Oryzias latipes: one gene and its partners. The protein of the gene in region 1 purifies or fractionates together with the protein of each later gene. This does not show direct contact. Links are inferred from orthologs where the notes say so. Each region holds a gene or a part of one and is shown in the gene's direction. Other genes may lie near its edges.

Region 1 (4,883 bases):
AGGAGGAGGAAGACGAAGAGGAAGAAGACGGAGAGGAGCCTGAACTGGAGGAAGAGGAGGACGAAAGCCCGGACGCGGTGAAGGATGAGCTGTAAGCTCAGAAACTGCTCAGACTGTGCATCAGTGGGCCGCTGGAGACGGAAAAGGCAGACCCCGGCGTCTGACTCCCCATGGGAGGGACAGACTTTTCATTTGTTTACAAAAGGGGGGGAGGGGTCAAAAGGGGCATTTCTGTTGTTTTCCTGAGCCATCACTACTATCTGTACTAGGAAAATTGGAAAAACACAATCTATTATTGAATGTCAGGATCAGAAATGTCAGCAGAACAGGAAAAATGGGATTTATTTTAAAAGGAACCTGGATTTTTAGGAAGTTGTGACAGAAACAAAAGATGGACCGTGCCGTAGAAATGTTTGTTTACCTCATCTGTTTTGTTTGTCTTTTGTTTTGTCTGTTTTTTGTCCAAAAATGGGGGATCCTATTTAAACAGAGTGGAGAGGATCTACTGCTGTTGGGGGGGTAATCTGGAGTGGAAACAGATGCAGTCGCTTCCATCAGTTTCTGTTTGACACCGTTTCTGTCGCTGCGCATGAACTGAACTCTCAGATGTGGTTTTCATTAAGAACAGCCCAGGAGCAGTAGATCTTATCAGGTTGTTTTTTCTTCATGTGAACTGCAATTCATTCATAATTTCAACTTTTCTGCACTGCTGTACCCCAAACACTCTCAAAGATGCTCCTTTTTGTAAGACTCGTTTTGTACTAATGGAAGGAAAAGACATTTCTCAACTGTTGCAGTAGAAAGGTGCTTTGTCCAATAAAAGCCACCGAAGAATTAAACCCTTTTTTCCCTGTGTGTGAATTTAAATACTCTTGTTGTCAATACAGGAAGTTGACTTGAGTATTGTCAGCTTAAACTGTTTTATAATTAAATTTCACTCGTTTTTTATTTAATTTGACATGATACATGCTAACAAAATGTTGAATCCAACTGCTGAAATTCAAAACTTGAAAAATGATTGAAGATGAGGCAAAAATCTATTCTTTCTTGGCAAATGTGAGGGATCACTAAATGTTTACATTTGTTCTTTTACTCTGAAAAAATGTACGTTCATATTGGAAATGCCAAATTTTTCTAACAACTCAATATAATGTAGATGAATGTTTATTTCAAGCAATAAAAAGAAAAATACATTAATTTTGATATCAATTTAATGAAGATATTAATAAATTGAAAAATAAAGAAAATAAAAGATGTTAAATTTGTGACATGATTACCCCTAATAATAAATATATTTGCACGGATACATACAGTAAACATTAATATTATGTTATGTTCAATTCAGTTTTATTTTATTCATAATTAGGGTGTTTTATTTTGACATGTTCGACGTGAATTGACGTCACATTTCCCTGAAAGCTGCCCGCCTCGCGCCCGTTCCTGCGCGGAGGTCCAGCTCCGGGTTTTCCAGCGAGCCCCGTCTGCGCCCTGCAGCACAGCAGAATGAAGGCAGTGGGAAGCAGAAACACTATGGCTGCCAGTCTGTCTCTCACTCAGGTAACACTCCTACAACTCAAATGTAACGGCGCCGGAGCTCTTTGGCTTCTGACTGTTGTGAGTTCCGAAACTGTAGCGGTGTTGGTTCAAGTGACCTCATGGAAACGGGGAGTTTGTTTCCCCGCGGCGTCTCTTTTTGGAAGTTTAGTCGTGCTGTGACTCTGAAAAGTTTCTGGATTCTCTTTGGGGACGGCGTAAGGGCGTAGCTAGCTAGCTAGCATGTCGGCTAACAGCTCGCCAGTGAGTGTCGGGCTGCCTCATTAAACTTCATCAACGACGCGAGGCTGACGGAGCCCGGAGGGGTTTGGCCCCGGCCTTTGCTTGGGGTGGTCGGTCCCGACAGAGTTGGGAATACGGGACGCCTGGTCTGGTGGAGCGGCTCTGGGTCACTGACGCCTCCTTTAGTTCTGCTAAAAACACCAAGTTTAAGTCACTAAGTTTGCCGCCCAGAGTTAGTTGAATGCCGATTTTCCGTGGATGTGCTTGTTTTGTATAGTTAGACTGGGTATTTAACCTGATTTGGGCTGTTTTTAGCAGTAAAGTGGGACTGATTAGACCCCCTCTGACCTTTCGGAAGTGGACGGCGTTAACTGTTAGCTTGCTAGCCGCCGTTAACTCACGAGCGGACAAACTCCGATCTGGTTGAGCTGGGGGGGGGAAAGAGGAAGTGAGCCCGAACACAATCCATGTGTGTGCTGTCACACACACACACACACACACACACACACACACACACACACACACACACACACACACACACACACACACACACACACACACACAGCCTGTTGCTTCTGTGATGAAGAACGCAGCTGTCACCGTGGGCGGGTCCTGCCTGTGTGTAACTGTAAGCAAGTTATTTAGCATGCAGAAGTCAGGTGAGGAGGTTCCTCTAGTTACCTGAGGAGCTGTTGCCTGTGGCAACCGAGGAGGTGTCTGCCGGCTGCAGCCATCCCTCCACAGAGGAGTTCATCACATGGATGTAGCTTTGAGTCCCCAAACGTGGCCCCATGTGTGCCTTTGGCCCTGAGTGTGTTGCTCTTTGCTGTTTCTTTTTTATTCTGAGTGACAGGATGATGCAGCCTTTTCTCCCCTCAGTGCTTGTTGGAGGTCTTCAGTACAATGACCACAGTGTTACAGCCTGCAACTGTCCCAGCGCCTCCATTGTGGAGGCAGAGGCTTGTGTTGCCTGCTATCTGGCAGTAAATCATCCGTTAAAGAAGGCTAAGCGATAACCGCTGACGGCCGGCCTCTTCCACTTCCCCTTTGCCACAGAGCGTTGGGGTCTGGAGGCGCTTTTTGGGTCTGGGTCTCTGCAGCTTTGAGTGTCCTGTTGAGTTCACCCATGAGACGCCGACCGCTCTCCGCTCTCCTCCTTCAGTTCACCTGTGAACTGAAAGCCTCTGCGTCTGTTTCGGCCTCACGAAAAAGGAAATGCTGATTCGTTTCCTCTTCAGGGCCAGCAGCACACAGAGGAAAGAAGTTTTTTTTTTTTTTCTTTTTTAGGAAGTTCTAGAGGAAAGATAAATCTAGTTTTGTCTACGCCGTGACAGCTTGTTGTGTATTTCTGTTTTCCACGTCGATTATGAGCTTTGGTGGAGGAAATGTGTCCTGCAGTCGGCTCTCACCGCCATCCTCTGAAGAACCTTTAATGTTTTTTATAAATATCAAGCATCAGGCGTTGTACTTTGTTGCAACCCCACCTTCAGGGTTTAGACTGCATAGTGAAAATTTAAAATGCTTTACTTTTTCCTTAATTATAAGGATAACCAAAATCTGGCTTGAAACGGTAGCCGGGTAGCTCAAATATTTCCCGCCATTTTTGTTGCACCGGTAATGTCAGGTTGGGGTATGGGGGGGCTGTGATAGCGGGAGAGAGTGTAAACAGAGAGCTCTCAGTAATGGGGAGGTGTCGCTGGAATGGTCCCGTTTACAACTCTGAGGCAAATTTCTAATAAACTTCCGTCCTTTTTCAAATTTAGGCTAAAAGCGACGTAATCGTAATTAAACATCGTGAAAACAGATCAAAGGGTGATGGGAGTGGATCAATGAACATTTGCTCTATTGGGAATTTAAGTGTCTGTGTTTGTCATGTTTATGAAAATCTGCTTTAAGGCTATAAGAACATTTTCTAACATTGTGTAATTTTCTTGAACAGCTCTCCAGTGGAAATCCCATCTATGACAAATACTATCGACAGGTATGAACATGTACTGTATCTCACAGTGGACATATCAATCTACACATTCTATGTGGTTTTGTAAAACGTCTTATTTTGAAAGTCAAAAAGTTGAGACCTTTTCTTTGTAGCTCTTACTTTGAAAGTTCAGGGTTACATGTGACTCACCTGAGATATTCCTTAGTGTTTGTCTCTTCATAAGGACAGAGCTTTGGTGTTGCAGTGAGCTCTGATCTCTTTCATGCCTCTGCAGTCAATAAAGGACATGAATTAATGATGATTTCCCTCAAGCCAGAGCTCCCAGGGATGAGCTTCAGGGAAGACGATGGTTTCCCTTTAACCCACGATGAGGTTCAGTTGTAGGGCGTATGGATTCATGGCGTTGAGCTGCTGTATGTCACGGGGCGGGCAGGAGAGCAAGGCTAAACGGAGATGAAACAAACCGCATGTTGTTTGACATCACAGCCGCTGCAATAAAACCCAGTTTTGAGAAACACGACGTGCAGAACACGACTGACGCTCGCGGCTCTGGCGTGGGCTCTTCTTTGCACGAGCAGGTGGATCCTTCTGGCAGCGGGCGTGTCGCAGCAGCCGACGCCGCCCTGTTCCTGAAGAGGTCGGGGCTGGCTGACCTCGTCCTGGGCCAGGTAGTTTTGACTTATCCAGGTTAGATTCTGATTTACAGATTGAAACCTGTTAATATTTCTACTTACTCTCTCCATAGATCTGGGATCTATCAGACTCTGAAAGGAAGGGTTCGTTAAACAAACAGGTAGAAATCCTCTTTGGATCGTCTTTTGAGTTCTAATTAGATTTGTGACCGTCAGATCGTTCCTCAGTGACTTCTGTCTTTTTTAAATTTATTTTTTGTAGCAATTCTTCATTGCGTTGAGGTTGGTTGCGTGTGCCCAGAATGGCCTGGAGGTGGCGCTCAAGAATCTCCATGTGGCTGTTCCTCCCCCTAAGTTTGTAAGTTTGCCTTTAAGCTTTGGTTCCTCGGACTTCATTGTTTGTTAAAGTGAGGAAATATGAATGAAGGTTGATGTTTTTCAGTGTAAATGTTGTTGTGACTGATGTTTGTGTGACTCTCCAGCATGACAGCAGCAGCCCGCTGTCAGCCGGAGGAGCGGCGGCGGCGGCTGACGCT
Region 2 (5,158 bases), on another chromosome or scaffold:
AACATTTGTGGACCTTGTAAAGAAAGTTAAACGATTGTAATACCATTGCCTCTAGAAAAAGAAACCGGTTTAAATTAATTAGTTTGAAGGTTTGGTCAATAAAGAACAGAATGGCCACATTAATGTTTTGGTGGGACACAGGTACAAAGAAGGCATGAGTTAAGAAAGCGATGTTGGTCTAATTTATTTATGTAAGGAAGCTGGTTTCAGTGGGATCAAGTGATGTTTATGTCAAGATGTAAAAGTGAATGTTTAAAGTTTTCCAAAAATGAGGGATTTTAAATAGCCAACTTTTGTCCCCTGGCAATTGGAGAGACAAATTAATGAATGAGAATTTTTTCTTATCTAAAAACTGTAATGTTTCTTCAAATGAAAAGAAATAATTGGCCTTTTTTTTTTTTACACCTTTTTAATAAAAATATACAATCCATACTTGATTGAGGCACTGACAGTAGCAACTTAAAATGTCTTTCATTAGAACTTTTTAAATGTGTTTCTGAGTGTTTCAATTTTACATTTTTTTCTGGATTGTGTTTTGATTTACTAATGGTCCAGCTCTATTTGAACTGTGAAGTCAGACAAACATAGAAGAATTTTTATTTCTCAGTCTTGTAAAGTGAGAAAATTTTTAACCTGCTCTTTGTTGTATAGAACCTTTTTTTTTTAAATTCATTTCCTTTAACTCACAGTCAGGAAATTCTGAATGTTTATTATCTTGATGCCATTTTTGCTAAAATGTTGGTGTACAGATTGCTGGATAATGTGGACGATGTGTGTAAGAAATAGCAATACTGCAACGTTTCACTTCTTTTATTTAAAAAAAAACGTATAAAGTTGTCATTGAAATAAATGTTTCATTCCGAAAATTAAAATTGTTTGAAATTTTTTATGTATTTCTGTAAATGCTCCTGTTGGTTTTCAACAAGGTGCAGTTTAGAAATAAAAAAATTAAATTGATTTGATTTGTTTATTTAACGCATTAATTGTAGACAATATAACAAAAAATCACACACGTTTGTCAGTCCCATTTCAGAAATAAAGAAATTCATTGATTAAAAAACAGAATAATCATCAAAAATGTAGGAAGACAATAACAGTGTAATTACTCGTAATCTTAAAAAGGAATCTTTGCTGTAATGCATACAATAATATAAGATCACATTAGATTAATTAAATATAAAGATCTGCCAAAAACAAGTACAGTATGAACAATCTCAAATTTAGTATTCAATTTCAATATTCTATTTTTTTTTTTTTTTTTGCAAGACTAGTAAATGCTTAAATGAATTTAGAAAAAAATCAAACATGTTAACAATTGAATTCAGTTTTTAAGAGGGCAGGAAGGAAATTTATTTTGTTGACTTCTTAGTTTTATGAAGTCCCGCTTGTGCAAGTCTAAAGTCATACGTGACAAATCCAAATCAAGTCTTAAAACTTGTAGTTAAATAAACATTTTATTGTTCACAAGTACTCAATAAATTACTTTTAACAATTTGTAGGGATACATTAACAGGCAGCTGGTGTTTCTCCGCTCCCATTGCAAAGACATTGCATGAGGACATAAACAAATGAACATTCATATGTCCCAAATCTCATGTCTCCACTCATTTTATGGGAATAAAAATGTTAAGATTTGTTAAAAACTGGTAGAACCAGATGTTAATGAAAATTTCACATTTTCCCCCTATCACTTGAATGCACGTGAATGAAACTAAGCTGACGTGACTTGTCACACTGGGTGGAAATACGGAAGTTAAACAAGTGGGAGGGACGAAGACCAACACTGCTCGTACTACGCCTTCAACGGTAAGATGTTTGAGGAGATTTCCCCTATTAATTCTTTTTGTGGTGAGCTTCATTATAGCTCCAGAAGGTACGCTAATTCCTTGGGCAAGGGCTGAATTAGGCCGACAGATTAAGAGCTTAACTATTCCGGCAAAGACTTCCTTAACCCTTACTTAGAAGGTCAGTTTTCAGCTTTGCTAGCTGCAGATGAAGTAGCCTCGCGCTAGCCGACACCGACATACCTTTAGCCTTTTCTACCAGCCTCATTCATCTTACGCATTTTCTGTAAAAATGCAAGAATGGGCCAATCAGTTATGCGTGAGTATTGTACTTAACTGCGGTTTATTAGCGGTTGTTGCGTCAACTTTTACGCTGTCGATAGCTAGAAATGTAGTTTGCTTTCCTCGTCACATTAGCCTACTAAGCTAACGTTATAGCCCGATGCTACTTAAGCAGCAAACTTTGTATATTTGTGACTCAATAAACAGATTCTAACAAAGGCATCTGCTGAAACATGTTACATTTTTGTTAGCAAAGACAACCCACTAACTATTTGAATGGGTTAGTGTTGATTTAATACGGACGAAGTCGTATTAATCGAATTACAATTAGCTACTAGAGTTGGACCGTCGCTCCGATGTATTTGCCATACGGCAACCTGTAGGCTGTTATCCAACTGAAATAATTGGGTTTAAACGTCAAATATTGTACCTAAATGTCACCACAAAACAATTAAAATAATGGTTATTAAATAACGTCAGCCCTAAATCGGTTCATTCATATGAAGATGGCCACTACTTGTAGGAAGTCTTTACTTCAATACAAACTGTCACGATTTTACCAAATATCTGAAGTTAACATTTGAAATTGTTGAGAGTAAAAATATCAAACAATATTAAAAATAGATTTTAAAATCCTAATGTGTACAAAGCGTAACTCATGTTGTTTTATCCACTAGAAGGTTTATAAACTTAAACTTGCAGAAGACACAAGAAAAGGCTAAAAAAAACAAATAAACAAAACAGGAAGATATTACTTTGAAACATTCCAGATGGAGATTTTATTACAAAAGTGTTTTTTTATGTACACATAAAATGCCACATGGGTTTAAGTGACTCTTGAAAGGGTGCATCAGTGTGTACAATAAACCCAATCTGTTTGTGAGCTTTACCATTTTGGGAAATTGCTTAATCTTTAATGCTGCCTGACTTTTATTACAGTTTTTAAAAAAAAAACTTTTAATATTCATTTTACTTTGGTAGCAGCGTCCTAATTTACTGCAACCAAATTTGTCTTTCAACAGAGGTTTGGTGACTTTGTGCTCATCTGCTTCCTCTTAATTGCTGTAATGACTAATTTGCATTATTTTGCTCTATAACAGATTGGATTTTGTGTTCATCTGTTTCCCTCTTTACTTATTGCAGCAGTTACAAATCTGCCTGTTTGTCTTACAACAGAATTTCCTTCAGTTTTTGTCTGTCTTTATCTGTTCCCTCAAATCCTAACTGTTCATGGCAGATAGAGAGCCTTCATGATGGTGGGTTTTTCCTAATCTTCTATTTAGAGAGAGGTTTATTTTCTTTTCCACTGTTAGCTTTTGCTTGCTCTGTATTAAGATTACACTGAAAACCCTGCAATGTAATCTACTGGTCACTTATATAACATAGGGATATTAATATGATATGAGATATTGTGGCCCTATTGGAATTATCTTGACTAAATTGTATTATAATAATCATTATTAATAAACTGTCCGTTTTTTGCTTTTCGTGGAGCACTTTGAGACCTCATTGGTTGTGAATTGAAATGACAAACTTGAAGAAATTCGTCTTATTAAACAAACTCTCAAACATCTATCTCCCTGAGAAAGTTGCTCTGTCTGCTGGAAGTTAGGAAACCTGACCAGGAAATACTGGGGCCAAAACGCTTTCCCCTTTTAATCATGATTGGGAGATTCTTTTTTTTAAAGGAGACATTTCATTCTGGTTTTTCAGCAAACTCCATTGATTCTTTTCCTCTCAGGTCTGCAGTATTTGGACAGTAGAAGGCAGGAAATCCTTTTAATTTCATGTGCTTGCACTTCTAGGTTTTCCTGTTATTTTTGAGATGTGGCAAGTTTCCATTGAAACAAAAACATCATCATCATCTTTCTGTGTTTTGCAGGAGAACAGACAGTTTGGATCCAAGATGACAGACTCCAAGTACTTCACCACCACCAAAAAAGGTTTGCTATTTTTTATATCGAATACAACACATTTTTTTTTTAAATTGTAGTTTTTATTGTTGTTTTTTGTGGATTTTGTTACTGGCTCAGTTGTGGGATGCTAAATTGTTGAGAAAAAGCCATACAATTAAAAAGCCATATATACAAAGTAACATTAGTATGGAGCTAATGGACATTTACTACTTCCAGAATATAATGAAGACCTTTATCAATATTCACACACCTAAATTGCTATTTAACTTTAAATGCACTGATGTCACATTTGTGTTTGGCACAAACCATTTTGCTATGAAAATACCGATTGGGTATAGAGAGAGTCGGTTAGTTCTGAAAACCACCATTTCATCACATATGCTAGAAAGTCCAAAAGTCATTTAGGATCCCCGTGAAGCTCTGGGAAAAGGCAAGCTGATGATAATTAACAACAGTAACAGCTGTTTAGGGTTGCCAAGAGCATGTTTGCTTTTATTTTACTATGACTTGTTCAAACTTGAGCCTTAAATTAATGGTGAACAGAAAAGAATCTTTTAAGAAAGATTCCCACAATGAGATGGAACCTTACTCAGAAGCAGCTTTTATCCCTGGAACCGCCATCTATTTAGTTGTATGAGTAGGAAAACACTAATCTGTAGTTTCAAAATAAAAAACACGATTAATTCATTTAGCAAACAAGAAAAAGCCGCTGCCATGCAGAGAACATAGTCAGCTACCATAACCAGAGGTTGAAGATCTGATTTTAAACATCAATGGGGCGGGTTTAAAAAAAAGTATTTTATTCAAGGCAATTTCATCAGTACTGCAAACATTTTATATCAATTGCTTTCTTTTAACTTTTCGTTGTGAAACTTTTTAACCAATTTTTTGACATTTCCATCCTTTGTCCAGTTTAATTGGTAAAATGGTTTATCTTGATGAAAAAAATAGTACTTGGATGGATTAAAAAGATAGTTATTCAAAAGAAGTATGAACTTGAGAATCAAAATTAACTAGTTTTATCATTTTGGCAGCAAAACTCAGCCACACATTAGTGTGTGAATGTGTTTTTGTGTGTGGGTAAATGAGACGGTGACTGTAAAGCGCTGTGGGCCTTCTAAGAACGTAGAAAAGCGCTTCTTAAGTATGCGCCACTTATCGTTGTACCATTTCTGT
Region 3 (5,184 bases), on another chromosome or scaffold:
ACTTTATTTAGGGATCAACATTTGTTGGGCTATTGGGATGCAATTAGGATTTAAAATGTGCTGTATTTAAATGTTAATAATAGTTTCATTTAACACGTTTCATGTTTTTCTCTGTCAGAGGCTTTTCAGAGAGCGAGGAAAAAGATGCAGGAGGCCAGAGAAAGTTTTCCGAGAGGCGTAATAAACACTGGTTCCCAACTCCAACAGGAATCCTCAGCATGAGACTGAAAACCAAACTTTCAGTGGGACTGAGTGGAAGAAGATCCTGGCACAGACTCAGAATTTTGCAAAGATGACTCTCTAGTGACCGGTCCAGTGAGCATCTGTGGAACATTTCATGTTTTAAGGATTAATAAGTCACTTTGTCAGGTTGTAATGATGCAAAACATACATCAATCCACCAAAATGTGGAAAAAGTGACCACACCTGCCTTAGAAACTACAGGCAAATTTCACAGCAGTTTTTAATGGCTAAGGAACTTGTTGAAAATCCACTCGGGAGTTTTTTTTTGTTGCAATTAACTCTTTTACAAGTTCTAAGCTGCTTTTCACCTCCTGCCCTCTACAGAAGCTGCTGCGCTCATGTTCTGCCAGTACCTACTGATGTACGCAGATACGAGAAATGTTCTGGTGCTGTTTAAATCTACTAAAGCTTACTTTTTACTGTCAGAAATAGCCTAGTGATTAACAGAATGAAGCTGAATTAGCCACTAACCAGGAAAGCCTTTGTGTCGTTTCCCTACATCAACGGGTCTATTTGGGGCAAAACAGAGACTCTTGCTTCATGTCCCTCAAAAGGATCTTCTCAGAGCTAATCTCAATTTACCTGACCCTCTGCTGCTTTACTTTAACCTGGTTCCATGAAGCACCATACCAACTTTCAGTTAAAGACATTTAGCTTTTTTCTCATTTAAACTCAGTTAAATTATTATTGATCTGCCCCTTAACAGTACAAAACTATTGTTACAGTCTACTGTAAAAATAGAAATTGAAATCCTCCTGAAACATCTTTTTCACAAATCAAGCAATCTCTATAGTCTTCTCCTTCTTTTTAGAGCCGGTCTTAAGGATCTCGTCATTCTCATTTGATCAGCCTATGCACAATTTATGCATCTGTTCTTTTGCTATACTTGATACAGGGATGAATGGTGCTTGGTTCAGAATAGGATTTTAAAAACGATGCCAGTTTGGCTAAAAGAGATCATGTTCTCAGGATTACTGTCAGGAAAAAAAAATCAGCTGATTTTAATTTGTTGGGGTAGTTTTTGCATTTTATTGCATATAATTCTACAAATAAATGTTTTTGCTACAAAATATTTGAAGTTTCATTGTTGTTATACATTTGTTATTTTAATTAAAGCAACATCCTTTTTTTTTTTAAAACAAACCCAACTTTTTATGTCATTTTTATAATTTTGAAGCCACACTGTATATAAGTTACAGGTGAAAAATAAAGTATTGGTTTCATGGATTGTGGTAGTTGACCCTAATGGGCTTTTGATAAAGCTTAATTGATTTCTTTGCTGTTTGTATGCTGTTTCTCAGTGAATATCAAATGAAAAAAAAATAGATTTTTATCTTTTGTGAAGCGTCATTTAGTTAAGAAACTAATGCATTTTATTTTTAGAGAACGTGTTCTTTGATTTTATGAGGATTTACAACACTGACCTAGGTTAGAAAGGCTTTTATGTGCTTGCAATTTAATCTTTAACTATGTAAAAAAGATTGTAATTTGCATTTTTTTCTTTTAAACTATCAATAATATAAACACCTGCAGTCTTGCACGTTTACTTGTTAAAAGTAAGATGCTCTGATAGTTTAAAACAACAAAACAACTAGCAAATAAAAACACCAACATGAACATGGCTTAAAAAATTGTCATTAATTAAGCTTCATTTTTGTTTTAAAATAAACGGTTGGGTCAGAGTTTGTGCTCCAAATCATGAAAAAAAAATTGATTTCATGTTCACACGCCCACTTTTCTGCACTCCAGTAGGAAGTTTTCCAGTTTCCTACGATCGTGAACTCACCATCTATATCCCGATTCTCCATCTTTTTCCCCACCAAGCACAGGACCAACCTACGTCTTCGACCTCTTGGACTATTTTCCGGCTCACGTAACCGCAGCCAGGTATTGAACATGAAACTGTTAAAAATGAAATACAAGTAGATATCTACACGTTTGTTTTGATTATACTTTTGAGGGAGGTGGCACAGTGACAGTCCAGCGGCAGAGTAGCTCCGTTCGTCGGTCGGTGATGTGATGAAACTGGGCCGCTTCTCGCTATTCATTTCAATGTGGAGGTTCGACTGAAAATAAACGCGTCACATACAGTTGCAAAGAAACTGTCGAAATAAGTACCCTGACATTTGTGTAAATTTGCATTTTGACACTTCGTCACTGAAGTGTAAAGGACGATGATGGTTAGCCTTTTTAGCTAATGCTAGCGAAGTGTAACGGCTGTGGCTCAACTCTAGCTAACGTTTTGTTTCGGAGAGGACAAACGGTGAAAAATGCCGATTTTGTTGTCGCAACTTGTAAAAGATTATTGGTTTAGCTTTCAAACCGGAGCGGCGAGTTGAAACCGGAAAACAAATTTGCTTAATGTGCAAAAATTAGCAGCATATCGCTCCGTTGTAGAAGAAGTTAGGGCGTGCAGCCACCATCATTCATTATTGGTAAACGTGTTACTTTTGTTTCTTTGTGGATTTATTGTAAAGACTCCGATATTTCCCGCTCAGCCGTAGATCACTAACTATCATATTTATTTATTATTGCAAAAGACAAACTGCCAATGTTGTATGAATGGTTCTTGCATGGGTGGCACTATTAAACACAAGTTCTCTCCTCATAACTTATTTATTTGGAACAACAAATATTAATATTATACAAGAAAAAATCTTTGTTTTTCCCCACATTGGTTTGAGAAAAGAATTCTACTGGTGGGCCAACTTTTTAACATGAACGGGCATTTATTAAGGTATACTGAATTCAACTCTAAATACAATCTGGTTGTGACTTCTAAAGAATATGCCATTGTGTTTGAAACCGTTTCCAAAGAAATATGCCAAATGTTTAAAACAACTGTTAGGAATGAAGAAATGCCCTCTATGGATGCAACTGACACCACCACAGGAAAAATCTGCTTTAATCCCTCACACTAGAACAAAAAACATAAAAGTACTTGTAATTTCTCTGGGACGTCATTTCTGTGCCATGTACTAAAACCTACTGGACATGTTTTGTTCCCGATGGTATTTGGAGGAAAGGTTGGAGTGTGACCCAAACATTTATGATAAATAATAAAATGAATGAAGTTTCTTTTAAAATAATTCACGAAATTTACCCCACCAATCAATTCATGCTAAGATGCATTAAATCAATTGTACCTTTTGCAAAACACAACCAGAAACAATTGGCCACCTTTTTTGGAATTGTACTGAAATTAGAATTTTTTTGGAAAAAGTGTTTACAATTGATCAGAAATCATATTCACCCCAACTTCACTCTGAAATTTGAATATATAATTTTTGGCTTTCATAATAAAAACTTGGACTCAAATAAAAAACTCATAAGTAATCTTATTATTACATTTGGCAGATTTTATATTCATAAACGCAAATTTTCTTCCTCTTCTATATTATCCCCTCTGTTAATCAAACAAATTGAAATGTATCTCAGTAACATCTCTAAAAGCCTTAATCAAAAAGCTGTATGTTTGTATGAAGGTTGTAGAAACCTGAATATTTTTATGTAAAATGCATGTAATATGTATGCTCCCCAGGCATATCTGAAGATTACTTTGCAAAATTGTGTTTTGGATTGTACTTACGTTTTGTACAATAAAGTTTTTTTTTTAAAGTAAAATAAAATGTTGTATGAATGGGGCTTTCTTCCAATCTTACTGATAAATCTATTGGTGATGCATTTTAGGACTTCTGTAAACAATCTAAAAACCAAACAATGGCTGTTTTATTGTGAAAAACTACACCCTGCTGGACTCTTTAGTCAATATGTTGGTGTGGAAAAGAGTTGTGCATTGGGAGATATTTTCTGGGATTCTGTCCTGGTGTATTTTTGTGACTCTTGTTTAGCATGTGTAAGGCAAGGATCATGCCATTGAATGAAAAGTTATTCAATATTGTTATGCTTTGCACGCCAAATACACATGAGAGTATAAAACTGTGTATATATTTTCTTAAACACTGTGTTATCATAATAAATTATTAAAATATTCTAAAAGTCGACTTTTAGAAAAAATCTGTCCAGACAGGTTTAACATAGTCTGTCCAATTTGACCATTTCTTATAAAACCTGTCTGAATTTGAATTAAGAATGAAAGCTTTTCCATAATGTCAATATTGTGAGTATAGTGACCCACTCCTCTGTTATTGGGGTTTGCTGTTTGTAGCATCTTTTTGTTTTGCAGCTTTTTGCACTTGCTGCCAGCAAGTTATGTTAAGTACAAGCATGTTAAGTACGTTTTTATCCAAAAAGTTAAATCCATCCCAAGTCCAGTTACAAAGATATGTAGTGTTTAATAAAACATATGCACATTTTTATACGGTACTCTCATGTGTATTTGGAGTGCAGAACATAACAATATTGAATACGTTTTCATTCATTCACATAATCATGTCTTGTTCATACTAAACAGCAGTCACAAATGTACACGTAAAAGCAATCTTAAACACTTTCTGCAAATGTGTGTGGGTTTCAACCCAGTATTTTTTGAACAGCTGAACAGTCCCAGAATATATGAAAGTGCTTCCACATCTCCAGCTTGCATCTCCACTGCTCTCATGCCACTTTTGAACTGGAGTGATTTAAAAAAGAAATCTTGTGACGTTTTCCCAGCAAAATTCCCACCAATAATTTGACCTGGTTTTGACCTATTTCACCTGACATGACCTTTTGCAATCTTCTTCTGAAACTGGCAGAGTCCCATCTTTTTCCCATTTTTTTCTCTACTTATTTCTTCTGTCTCTGCTCTTGTTTTTTTTTGATTATGTGCACTGTTTTCTTTTTCCTTTTTCACTGGGATTTTCCTGAGTTTAATCATTTTTCTCCCTGATATAGTTTTTGTATATAATATTTTCCTTCAATTAAGTTTATATTGAAGAAAAATGATTCATTTTATTCAAGTTACAATAAGGGATTTCAAAGATTTTTTTTAGATATTTG
Region 4 (5,137 bases), on another chromosome or scaffold:
TCTGGATCATTATCTCTGTTGACCTCTCCTGGACAGCCAACATCACAGCAATCATCAAAAAGGCTCAGCAGTGTCTACACTTCCTGACCTTCTACCACTCATCCATCAAGAGCCTCCTCACATACTGCATAACATTACGGCAGCTGCCATTGCAGACAAGGAGAGGCTGCAGAGAGTCGTAGAGACAGCTCAGAAGACAAATGGGACACCTTCTCCCTGACTGACATCTACTCCACACGCTGCCTCAGCAGGGCTCAAAACATCATCAAGGAAACACCCTGGCTCAGACTTGTTCAACCTGTTGCCCTCTGGGAGGCGCTACAGAGGCATCCAATTTAAAATAAACAGACTCAAAAATAGCTTCTTTCCCAAGGCAAAAACCATACTCAAATCCAAAACACCCAGATAAAATTTGCCACAGCACTTGCCAGTGTATATGTCTATGTATGTGTATATGTACATGTGCTTATTTAGGTGAACTGGTCAACACTTCCCCCCCCTCCATGCTGTTTTAGCACATCTGACATGTTTATATCTGTACATATCACTCTGCACATTATTATAAAGAAAATAATAATTAAATTACAATGTAATTATATTAAATATATAAATATACATATAGTTATATTACATTGTTTATACTGACATGTTTTATATTATACTTTGTTAGATTTGCTTTTGCACTAAAATGGAGACTACTCCAGTTTCATTGTCCAGGTGGACAGTGACAAGAAAAGCTTTCTATTCTATTCTATTGGTGGATAAACTTTAACAATTGATTGTTTTTAATCACTTCCACCACTAGGTGGCGCTATTGACTGCTACTCAGTTAACTGTGATTTCTCAGAGGGACCATTCAGTGTTGGTAAATGTCACCACACCGATCACATGATCAGGAACCTTTTATCAGACAGTTCTGTTCTCCAGGACCTGCAAGGTTTATCTGGAAGACCTTTTGCTGCTCATTTTAGTAGTTTCTTTAGTTTTTTTTTTTTTAAAGAAAAACAATGAAACCATATAAAAATGAAATAGATCATGATTAAGGAAATTAAAATCAGTTCCAATAGTTCAAGATTAGGTAGATAGATAGATAGATAGATAGATAGATAGATAGATAGATAGATAGATAGATAGATAGATAGATAGATAGATAGATAGATAGATAGATAGATAGATAGATAGATAGATAGATAGATAGATAGATAGATAGATAGATAGATAGATAGATAGATAGATAGATAGAGGGAGAGAGAGATTACATATTTTTCAAGTTCTTTAATTGTTAGCAATTTGTTAGCAACCTCCCTTTTTAAATTAATGGGAAAAAGTTATATTTATTTTAAATATCTTCATAAATCTCCTGATTTGATTCATTCTCAAAAAGAGTTAAATAAATAATGCTTTCTTTTGGTTTAGATCTAGTCAATGAGCCCAAATGTAGGAATTATTTCTTTCTATCAACTTCTGCAATAGTGACTTTCTGTTAAACAATGAGGAAACTGAGATGATTATAGCCCACAGTTTAATAGTTTATATTATTAGTTATTCTTTATAATGGATGGCACAACATTTTTTTACCCACATATTTGCTACAGTATATCACAACTCCAGTTATGTTGGCCTAAGTTTTTAAATGTTAAAAATAACAGGATCAGTGTGGTTTTGGACCTGTCAGCTTTGTCTTCCTGCATTTTTTTCTTCTTACAAATAGTTTAAATCTAAAGTTTATACGTTCGATCACTGCAGAAATTATATTAATGTTTAAATAATACTGGAAAAAAGAGAAAAATAAAAAAAACGTAACTGTGTTTTGATTTGGTCCCTGAAAAGACTAACTCCGGCCCTGGCCCTTCCAACCTTCTAGGTGAGCGGCTGCGCGTACAACCCCGCGCGCGCGCGCGCACTCTCGCGCCTCCCCCCACAGGCTCTTGACGTGGATGTGGTCACGTGACTGGACCTCCTCTTATAGAGTAACTTTGACAGTTTGGTTCAGTTCGGCTGCGGGGCCGGTGCGCGAGTCCAACCCCTCCCCACAGGACTGAGACACGGCGGACACGGTCTCTCCGAACGTCCAGGTGAGTTCTACTACAGTCCTGACCAGAACCAGGCAACTCTTCTTTCTTTCTTAATGCAACATCTTCACCAGTCTTCTTGTTGAGGACCAGATAGATGGAGGACACTTTCTCCTCTCAGTGTGCGCTCAGGTGAGCGGTTCTGGACGGGTTTCTCCGTGGTTCCCTCTGAAGTGGATGTGGGTTGTGTGGTGGAGAGGAGCCTTGGGCTCCTCCAGAGGACCTTGTCAAAGCTCTGTAGCGCTTTGTGCTGCTTTCTCTGAACTCATTCATGCAGAAAGTGGCGGGACATTGTGTCTCCTAACAGTCAGCAACTGTTCTTCTCCTCCCGGACTCCTCAGGAGTTGGACCCTGCAGAGCTTCCAGATAAGTGAGAGCACATGCAGAGAATTGAACCAGCCTGCAGCTTCCTGCTCATCCACAAAGGTCTTTCTTGTGAGGCCCACTCTGAGAATCTTTTTATGTGTCACATGCACCAGCATTTAATGTCCTGTTGGGTTGTTTTTTTTGACCTGATGTTTCCATGAGGTCAGTAAAGTCTGCAGATCCTCTTTTTTCATGATTTACAGCTGGGGTTTTACATGATGCACCTCCAGTGCTTCTGTCTGACAGTCAGAGTATCTGAAAGCCTTTCAAGGACCTGTTGTTGTATCAGTCACATGAAAAAACAACATTCTGCCTCCTGTTTCTGCATCTGTATTGCAGCAGGATTTCTCCTGGGCTCTTGATGCCCCGACTGAACCCCGTCACAGCACAGAGGCTCGGGCGGCGCTCAACCAAGCCTCCTTGTGTTAGCTGTCGGCATCTTTTTTGGTCTTTCTGTCTTTCCTCTGGGGCCACATTCTGGCTCTTGACGCTTACATTCTTTTCCAGTTTTTTTTTTATTAAGGTAATTTTGTAACAGAAGTGGTTTGATGCATATTTGCACCCAAATGCGCAAAGGGATTAATGCACATTAAGCGCCAAAACTTTTACAGGATGAAGACCTGAAGACCTTTAGGGACCCAGTCAGCTGGAACCAACCAGAACCTTCAGTGTTAGAGTTATTTTTTGATTTGTGGCTCCACCATTGAAAGTTCTGATCAGTTTTAAAACCCAACTGTCTGAATTTATAAGTTTTGTCGCCTTCATTTCTGCTAAAAGTGTCTAATAGAAAACAAGATGATGAGAGTAGTTCCACAGCGCTTTGATTCAGCAGAATCTGAATGTGTTTTCCATTTTAATTCCTTTTTTCCAAGCCAGTCTGGATTTAAAGTGAAGCTCTTAAGGAAAAGAACAAAAACGTGCTCTTTGTCCCCTGCTCCACTAATTGGATTAGCTTGTTGCGTCATTAAGCATTTCGTTTGGTCCCCTTAAGTTCTCCTTAATTACATAATCCTTCAAAAAAACAAACAAAAAACTAAAGTTCTTTCAATTGAATTAATTGTTTCCATCAAACATATTAATGTTTCTCAAAAAAGAAAACCTAATTTTAGAGGATCTCCACATCCGATTTATGATTGTAAATTAGCAAAACCCAACTAAAATTAAGAAAACGGATTATAATGCAACACTATTTTATGCAAAAACTAGAAGTTGGAACAAACTGAGAGAACAGTGAGTGGAAAAGTGAATTGAAGCCACAAATTTTCCGTCCAAAGTAATAACTCTCAGTTATGTTTCCTGTAAGATCTTATCACTCTCCTTTGCTTTTATCCAACGTCTGGCTGCAACTCAGCCAACACTGAAAGTTTGTTTGACTTCACGACATTGTCAGTTCAACTTCTCTCTTTTCTTCTTCCACCAGCTAACACTCCCCAACGATGGGTGATTGGAGTGCTCTGGGTCGTCTGCTGGACAAAGTCCAGGCCTATTCTACTGCGGGTGGGAAGGTCTGGCTGTCCGTGCTCTTCATCTTTAGGATCCTGGTTCTGGGTACCGCAGTGGAGTCGGCCTGGGGTGACGAGCAGTCGGCTTTTAAGTGTAACACCCAGCAGCCTGGTTGTGAAAACGTCTGCTACGACAAATCGTTCCCCATCTCCCATGTTCGCTTCTGGGTGCTGCAGATCATCTTTGTATCAACGCCCACGCTGCTCTACCTGGCTCACGTTTTCTATCTGCACAGGAAGGAACAGAAACTCAACAGAAAGGAGGAGGAGCTTAAAGCCGTTCAGAATGATGGGGGTGATGTTGACATCCCGCTTAGGCAAATTGAGTTAAAAAAAATGAAGTACGGCATTGAGGAGCACGGAAAAGTGAAGATGAAGGGAGGCCTCCTCAGAACTTACATTGTGAGCATCTTCTTCAAGTCTCTGTTTGAGGTGGGCTTCCTGTTGATCCAGTGGTACATCTACGGCTTCAGTCTGAACGCCGTCTACACTTGCGAGAGGGACCCGTGTCCTCACAGGGTGGACTGTTTCCTGTCGCGGCCCACAGAGAAGACCGTCTTCATCATCTTCATGCTGGTGGTCTCTCTGGTCTCTCTGATGCTCAACGTCATCGAGCTTTTCTACGTCTTATTCAAGAGGATCAAAGACCGCGTAAAGGGAAAGCAGCAGCAGCAGCAGGCCGGGCTTTTCCCCGGGGGAGGAGGAACTTTGAGCCCCACCCCCAAAGAGCTGTCCACCACAAAGTACGCTTACTACAACGGCTGTTCATCCCCAACCGCCCCCATCTCACCCATGTCCCCTCCAGGCTACAAGCTCGCCACAGGGGAGCGTGGAACCGGCTCCTGCCGGAATTACAATAAGCAAGCCAATGAGCAGAACTGGGCCAACTACTCTACGGAGCAGAACCGGCTGGGTCAAACTGGTGCGGGAAGTACCATTTCAAACTCCCACGCACAAGCCTTTGACTTTCCTGATGACACCCATGAGCACAAGAAACTCACATCATCAGCGGGACACGAACTGCAGCCCCTGGCGCTGATGGACCCCAGGCCGTGCAGCCGGGCTAGCAGCAGGATGAGCAGCAGAGCCCGACCCGATGACCTGGATGTCTAACGGGCCCTGGCGACCTTACCGTTCTGCCTGGCCGACAGGATGTGAGGCTGCAGGCGGACAATCAGGCAACACTTGATCAGAAAG
Region 5 (4,991 bases), on another chromosome or scaffold:
AGGAGGGGAGATGCTCGGTCACCCGAAGAGAGCTCGGAGTAGAATCGCTGCTCCTCCGTGTCGAGAGGAACTAGCTGAGGTGGCTCAGTAACCTGGTCGGGATGCCTCCTGGAACACCTCCCTGGGGAGGTTCCAGGCATTTCCCTCTGGGCGGAGGCCCCAGGGAAGACCCTGGACACGCTGGAGAGACTATGTCTTTCAGCTGGCCTGGAAACGTCTCAGGGTCCCCCCTGAGGAGATGGAGGAAGTGGCCGGGGTGAGGGAAGTCTGGGCATCTTTGGTTAGACTGCTGCCCCTGCGACCCGGATGAGCGGAAAAGGATGGATGGAAAATTTTATTTAAAAAAAAGGCATCCTGATAAATAAAAAATAAAATGTTGCACCTTTTATTTATACAGCGGAATAAATAACAGGAATAAATAACCTAACCTTTGGAGCCAATATGCTTCTATGATTATAGCGAAAACAAAAAAAAATGTTGTTGTTTTTTACTTTTTCAGACAGTTGTCCCAAATTTTTTTTTGGTAATTTAAAAGAAAAATTAGTGAAACTGAACATTTTATACAGGCCTACAGGGGAAATTGTACTGTTGCACACCAGGGGGGTGGAAGAGTATGAATGCCCTTATGTAGATGAAATAAACAAAATCTTAATATATATACCCTTAAAAATAAAAATAATCTATATACATGTGTCTCTGGAATAGAATACAATTTCACTAGTTGAACATTTTATAGTGGGAACATTTCTTGGTAAAAACTGACTTTGAACAGAATCATTCATTTCTCAGAATTACTGAAAAAGAACCAGAGGGATAAATAAAATTACGTATTTACTTAATATTTGTTTATTTTTAAACAGTGTTATTGCTGAGGCAAACAGATTTGCAAAGTTTCCTGGAATGAAAAAATGATTAAATATAACTAAAAATTGTTTATGACAGAAATGTTGTCTGATCATCAAAGAATTGGTCAAATATGTCATTACTTTTCTAAATCATTTTAAATATTAGATAGATAGATAGATAGATAGATAGATAGATAGATAGATAGATAGATAGATAGATAGATAGATAGATAGATAGATAGATAGATAGATAGATAGATAGATAGATAGATAGATAGATAGATAGATAGATAGATAGATAGATCGATCGATCGATCGATCGATCGATCGATCGATCGATCGATCGATCCACTTCTTTTTTGCTGTTTCCCACAAACAGCAAAAAAGAAGTGGCATTTACAGAGGATGAAGTGAAAAGGTTAATTTAATAAAAAAATAAAAAACAACAAATAAATAAGTAAAAATACACAGCAAAAGCAACCTTTAAAGAACAAAAAACAACTGAGAAACAACAACAGCTACAACAGTTTGTAAATAAATAAGTAAATAATATTAATATGACATGGTGGTTTACGTTGATTCCTCATTTTACATTTTAGAGAATGAAAGTTTTTATTAAGATTTACCTTGCATGCTTCGCCATGAACTCCCAACCAACGAAAATCCATATGTCCTACGTAGTCATAGCAACGGTGACTGGTCAACCTTTTTGATTGTCTGTGAGATTTAAAAGACGGCTGGCGTTCTACCGTTAACTTTAAACCACCGTTCGAGAGTTTATTTATATGTCAAATTAATGTAAACATTCTTTTTATAATCTTTGTATCGAAAAAAAGAAAAATATGATCAAGGAGGTTATTTATTTGATGTCCAACGTGATCTCGGGTCGCTGGTTTGAGCTCGACTCGGCCGTAGGTTGCGCTGTTTTGTTCGAAGTCTCTGTCGCGCTGGAAGGAACCAAAGGAGAAGAGAGCCGAGGGGAGGTGGAGTCTGGAAAGGGAGAAGAAAGGGGAGAGGAGGAAAACGGGGAAAGGCAGACACAACACAAACGGGCCAGGACGGCGGATGATTTTCGCTCTTAGAACCTCCAATACAGCTAACTCAAGAGCGGCGGCACGGGAGATAAGAGCAAGATGATAACGCCCTACTTCCTAGAGAATTTCTGGGTAGGTCCTACTTTTAATTTTTGATGTTCACGGTGTTTACACCGGCGCTGATCTTCACACTTCCCTTTCTGTCACGTCCGTCACGTCGTGTTCACGTTGCGGGGACAGCCGGACACTTGCCCCGGCGGGCAAGACGCTCCCTTCAGGGGCCGACAGACTAACCGGTCAGCCCCGCGGCTATCGCTAGTTTTCTTCGGCTGTTACCTTCGTTTGGGCCTCAATGAGCCAATCTAACTTTAGAGCTCCAACGGCCCACCCCCCTTTTCCATTAATTGGTTGCGTCTGGATCTCTTGGAATGTTTACGGTCAATTCCAAGAATGCGATTGGACACCTAATCTGCCAGTCACAGCCTTCCCTTTGACGCGTCATTTTCTAAGCTTTGGGGAGAGACCAGATGTTTAGTTTAAAGCTACCTAAAAAGACACAAAGTTAACTGTAGTGCGCGTTACTTTTACTCAGAAAATGGGTCTGTCTATTTGCTGCTAATGGTCATCTATAAACATGTATTACTTTTGGACGTGGCCCTCCTAAAGCAGGTTTAAAGGTTACACTTGTTGTTTTCAGTGCTTCCTAGGGACTCATTAAATTCATTTAGCTAATCTTACATTGCTAACTTGGCATTTATACAACTTGTATGTGTTGTTAATGCTGAATATTTGCCATTTGGTAAAAAAAAACAATTATAGGTAACATTAGGGAAGGTTTTATGACTGTGTTATTACATTCCTACCATGACAGACAGATATATTTTTTGTATATTTAATTGTTGCCAAACCTGCTCTTTTACACAGATCAGTTGAAGATAAGCTGATCTGAATCTGGACTAATGTTGTTTTCTTTTCTGTGTTTAAAGTTCAACTCTGATTATCTTTTTTAAAATCTTTTATTAAAGAGTTCCCAGGGATCTTTTAATTAGGATTAAGCGGTTTTTAGCCCAAAACAAAAACTGTGTCTTTTTCTAGGATATTGTTTCTGCAGAGCGGCAGGAGTTCATCGGAAATTATTTGGACTGTTGGTCTGAAGTACGCCTGCCCTCGTTTCCCATCATCCCTCTGTTTAAACTCTCTCCCGCTAGCTTACAGCCCCTGACACACCCAAGCTGACAACATTAGCTGCTTTTCAAACAGCATTTTTTTGTCAGCTCCTGATTCACAACGATTTGAGTAAAGAAATACTCCGAAATGTAATTTAAGCTTAATTTCCTTTATATATGTCCTCCATCATCAGAAAAATGCCACAGGAACATGCTAAAAACACCAAAAACATGATTTTTTATGGGAGTGGGTCTTAAAGTCAGCAAACCAGTAACCTCAGGCCTCAGATACCGGCATTCAAGGATAAAAAAAACTCAATGGAAGCTGAAATAACAAAGCAGCTCTAGAACTGAACTTAAGCCAGACGTCTCTATGTAATTAGACGATACAGTGATGTTATCCAGTGTTTTTCTCTAAATGAGACTGCATCATTAACCGAATGGAAACCTTCGGAGCCCTCACCCCTGATGCTTCAATCTACTCTTTGTGCTCCGCAGCAAGCCACAAGAGAATCCAGTGATGGCAGCAATCAGCTGTGCGTTTAGCATGCAGGGCACACAAATGCACATACTTGGCATTAGGAGACACATCCATCTCCAGTTTGACTCGCCTGCAAATCTTTACTGCTAGAGCGCACACATTTATCTGGCTGACTTAGACATTTTTGCTGCAGATTTATTTCTTGCAAAAGGAGTAGGAAGTTGCACAGATTATTTCCACACTTTGTGGTCTGTTCATACATCTTTTCCTTCTATGAAATCTTTAATCTGCAATGTTAAATATTCCTAACCAGCTGAGAAAACAAATGATCCGATTCAGGAGCCAGGTTTGCTCCAGCTATGTTGTTTTTCCCCTCAAAAGTTGCAGCACTTGACTGGTCAGCAGCTGCGACGTTTCCGCCCTCCGGATTGATTTCCAGACAGTTTCATTTCCTTTTTTGTGTCTCCCTGTCCATTCACTTTGAGTGTGGCATGTGCGGAGGGGCTTGGACGTCCCAGTGCATGGAGGGCTTTAGCTGCAGGCAGTCCCTGCGAGTTCATGTTTAATCTGTCGTCACTCAGCCTGCAGAGTGTCATGGGAAAATAAGATGGCAGTTTGATAAGCAAACAGTGTTGATACAGCCAACAGGATGGCTCCCCCCCCCCCCCTCTCCCTTGTAGTCTTTATGTTGTGTGTGGTCTAATAGGCTGTCACTCATCGTCTGTACGGAAGTTATGAAACAGCCTGTGAAGACTCAAGCATGAAACGTGTTTGAAAGTGATGATGCGATTCATATTTCTTTCCATTTTTGGCTTTAGCAGAAGATCTGTTAAAAAGTTGTGTTTATTTGTGGAGAACTGTGAGATCCGTCAGAAAATAGTCAAGATCCTATTGTTGTGCTTGAAACTGATATGGTTTCTTGCGTCTATTTACCCTCACTGCTTGTGTTTCCCCTTAAACAAGGAGGGTTACAAGCTGATCAGCCCTTCTGTGATCTTTCCAACACCCCCATCGCTTGTATATCTGTTACAGCCTGTGTGTCTTGGGGTTATGAGTTTAGATATCAGATTTATAACACTGGGAAATGGGGCCCTCCAACAGGTGATTTTTAATGTTCTCGAATCACCTGCTGCAGGTCAAAGTCATTTTTCAGGTGTTGTATAGACCAGTTCACAGATCTGACTGCCAAAGGCAAACACGGCAATTGCAAAACCAAGACTTAGCCACATTCAAAGTCAGAATCACACCTGTAGTAACGCCGTTTGTGGGTCTGCTAACGAGTTAAGGCCACACTGCTGTATCTGTGAACTAGTCTATTAAATGGCTCTGTGGTAAAAGCTACTTAGAAATAATTGTGTTTGCTGCCTCAAATGTAGCTCAACAAAAGAAAATAGTAAACAAACTTTGTTAGACCTGGGAGAGTTGTGTCCATATCCACTTTGCAGCAGCATTTTCTGCTTACTTC

Evidence for each region. Proteins that work in one complex are often made in the same cells at the same time.
Region 2: the proteins of eps15 (region 1) and ap1b1 purify together in Homo sapiens (affinity purification with mass spectrometry; 3 studies listed by BioGRID and IntAct, with this or other methods). This does not show direct contact. The link is inferred for Oryzias latipes from reciprocal best matches to the Homo sapiens genes EPS15 and AP1B1.
Region 3: the proteins of eps15 (region 1) and AP-1 complex subunit beta-1 purify together in Homo sapiens (affinity purification with mass spectrometry; 3 studies listed by BioGRID and IntAct, with this or other methods). This does not show direct contact. The link is inferred for Oryzias latipes from reciprocal best matches to the Homo sapiens genes EPS15 and AP2B1.
Region 4: the proteins of eps15 (region 1) and gap junction alpha-1 protein purify together in Homo sapiens (affinity purification with western blotting; 3 studies listed by BioGRID). This does not show direct contact. The link is inferred for Oryzias latipes from reciprocal best matches to the Homo sapiens genes EPS15 and GJA1.
Region 5: the proteins of eps15 (region 1) and fcho2 purify together in Homo sapiens (affinity purification with mass spectrometry; 3 studies listed by BioGRID and IntAct, with this or other methods). This does not show direct contact. The link is inferred for Oryzias latipes from reciprocal best matches to the Homo sapiens genes EPS15 and FCHO2.

Annotation. Positions count from the first base shown.
Region 1 is NC_019862.2:31,374,078-31,378,960, reverse strand, and holds the start of eps15 (epidermal growth factor receptor substrate 15), read left to right. Parts: upstream 1-1,437; 5' UTR 1,438-1,503; coding exon 1,504-1,614; intron 1,615-3,715; coding exon 3,716-3,757; intron 3,758-4,293; coding exon 4,294-4,383; intron 4,384-4,460; coding exon 4,461-4,508; intron 4,509-4,609; coding exon 4,610-4,705; intron 4,706-4,829; coding exon 4,830-4,883. Other genes in the region: calreticulin, read left to right, coding at 1-95. UniProt on the Homo sapiens protein: Involved in cell growth regulation. May be involved in the regulation of mitogenic signals and control of cell proliferation. Involved in the internalization of ligand-inducible receptors of the receptor tyrosine kinase (RTK) type, in particular EGFR.
Region 2 is NC_019867.2:12,656,949-12,662,106, reverse strand, and holds the start of ap1b1 (AP-1 complex subunit beta-1), read left to right. Parts: upstream 1-1,973; 5' UTR 1,974-2,076; coding exon 2,077-2,103; intron 2,104-3,948; coding exon 3,949-4,009; intron 4,010-5,158. UniProt on the Homo sapiens protein: Subunit of clathrin-associated adaptor protein complex 1 that plays a role in protein sorting in the late-Golgi/trans-Golgi network (TGN) and/or endosomes.
Region 3 is NC_019872.2:25,023,338-25,028,521, forward strand, and holds the start of AP-1 complex subunit beta-1, read left to right. Parts: upstream 1-1,999; 5' UTR 2,000-2,130; intron 2,131-5,184. Other genes in the region: mks1 (Meckel syndrome type 1 protein), read left to right, coding at 119-222. UniProt on the Homo sapiens protein: Component of the adaptor protein complex 2 (AP-2). Adaptor protein complexes function in protein transport via transport vesicles in different membrane traffic pathways.
Region 4 is NC_019882.2:10,600,756-10,605,892, forward strand, and holds the start of gap junction alpha-1 protein, read left to right. Parts: upstream 1-1,952; 5' UTR 1,953-2,075; intron 2,076-3,858; 5' UTR 3,859-3,874; coding exon 3,875-5,053; 3' UTR 5,054-5,137. UniProt on the Homo sapiens protein: Gap junction protein that acts as a regulator of bladder capacity. A gap junction consists of a cluster of closely packed pairs of transmembrane channels, the connexons, through which materials of low MW diffuse from one cell to a neighboring cell.
Region 5 is NC_019870.2:5,316,814-5,321,804, forward strand, and holds the start of fcho2 (F-BAR domain only protein 2), read left to right. Parts: upstream 1-1,806; 5' UTR 1,807-1,978; coding exon 1,979-2,011; intron 2,012-4,991. UniProt on the Homo sapiens protein: Functions in an early step of clathrin-mediated endocytosis. Has both a membrane binding/bending activity and the ability to recruit proteins essential to the formation of functional clathrin-coated pits.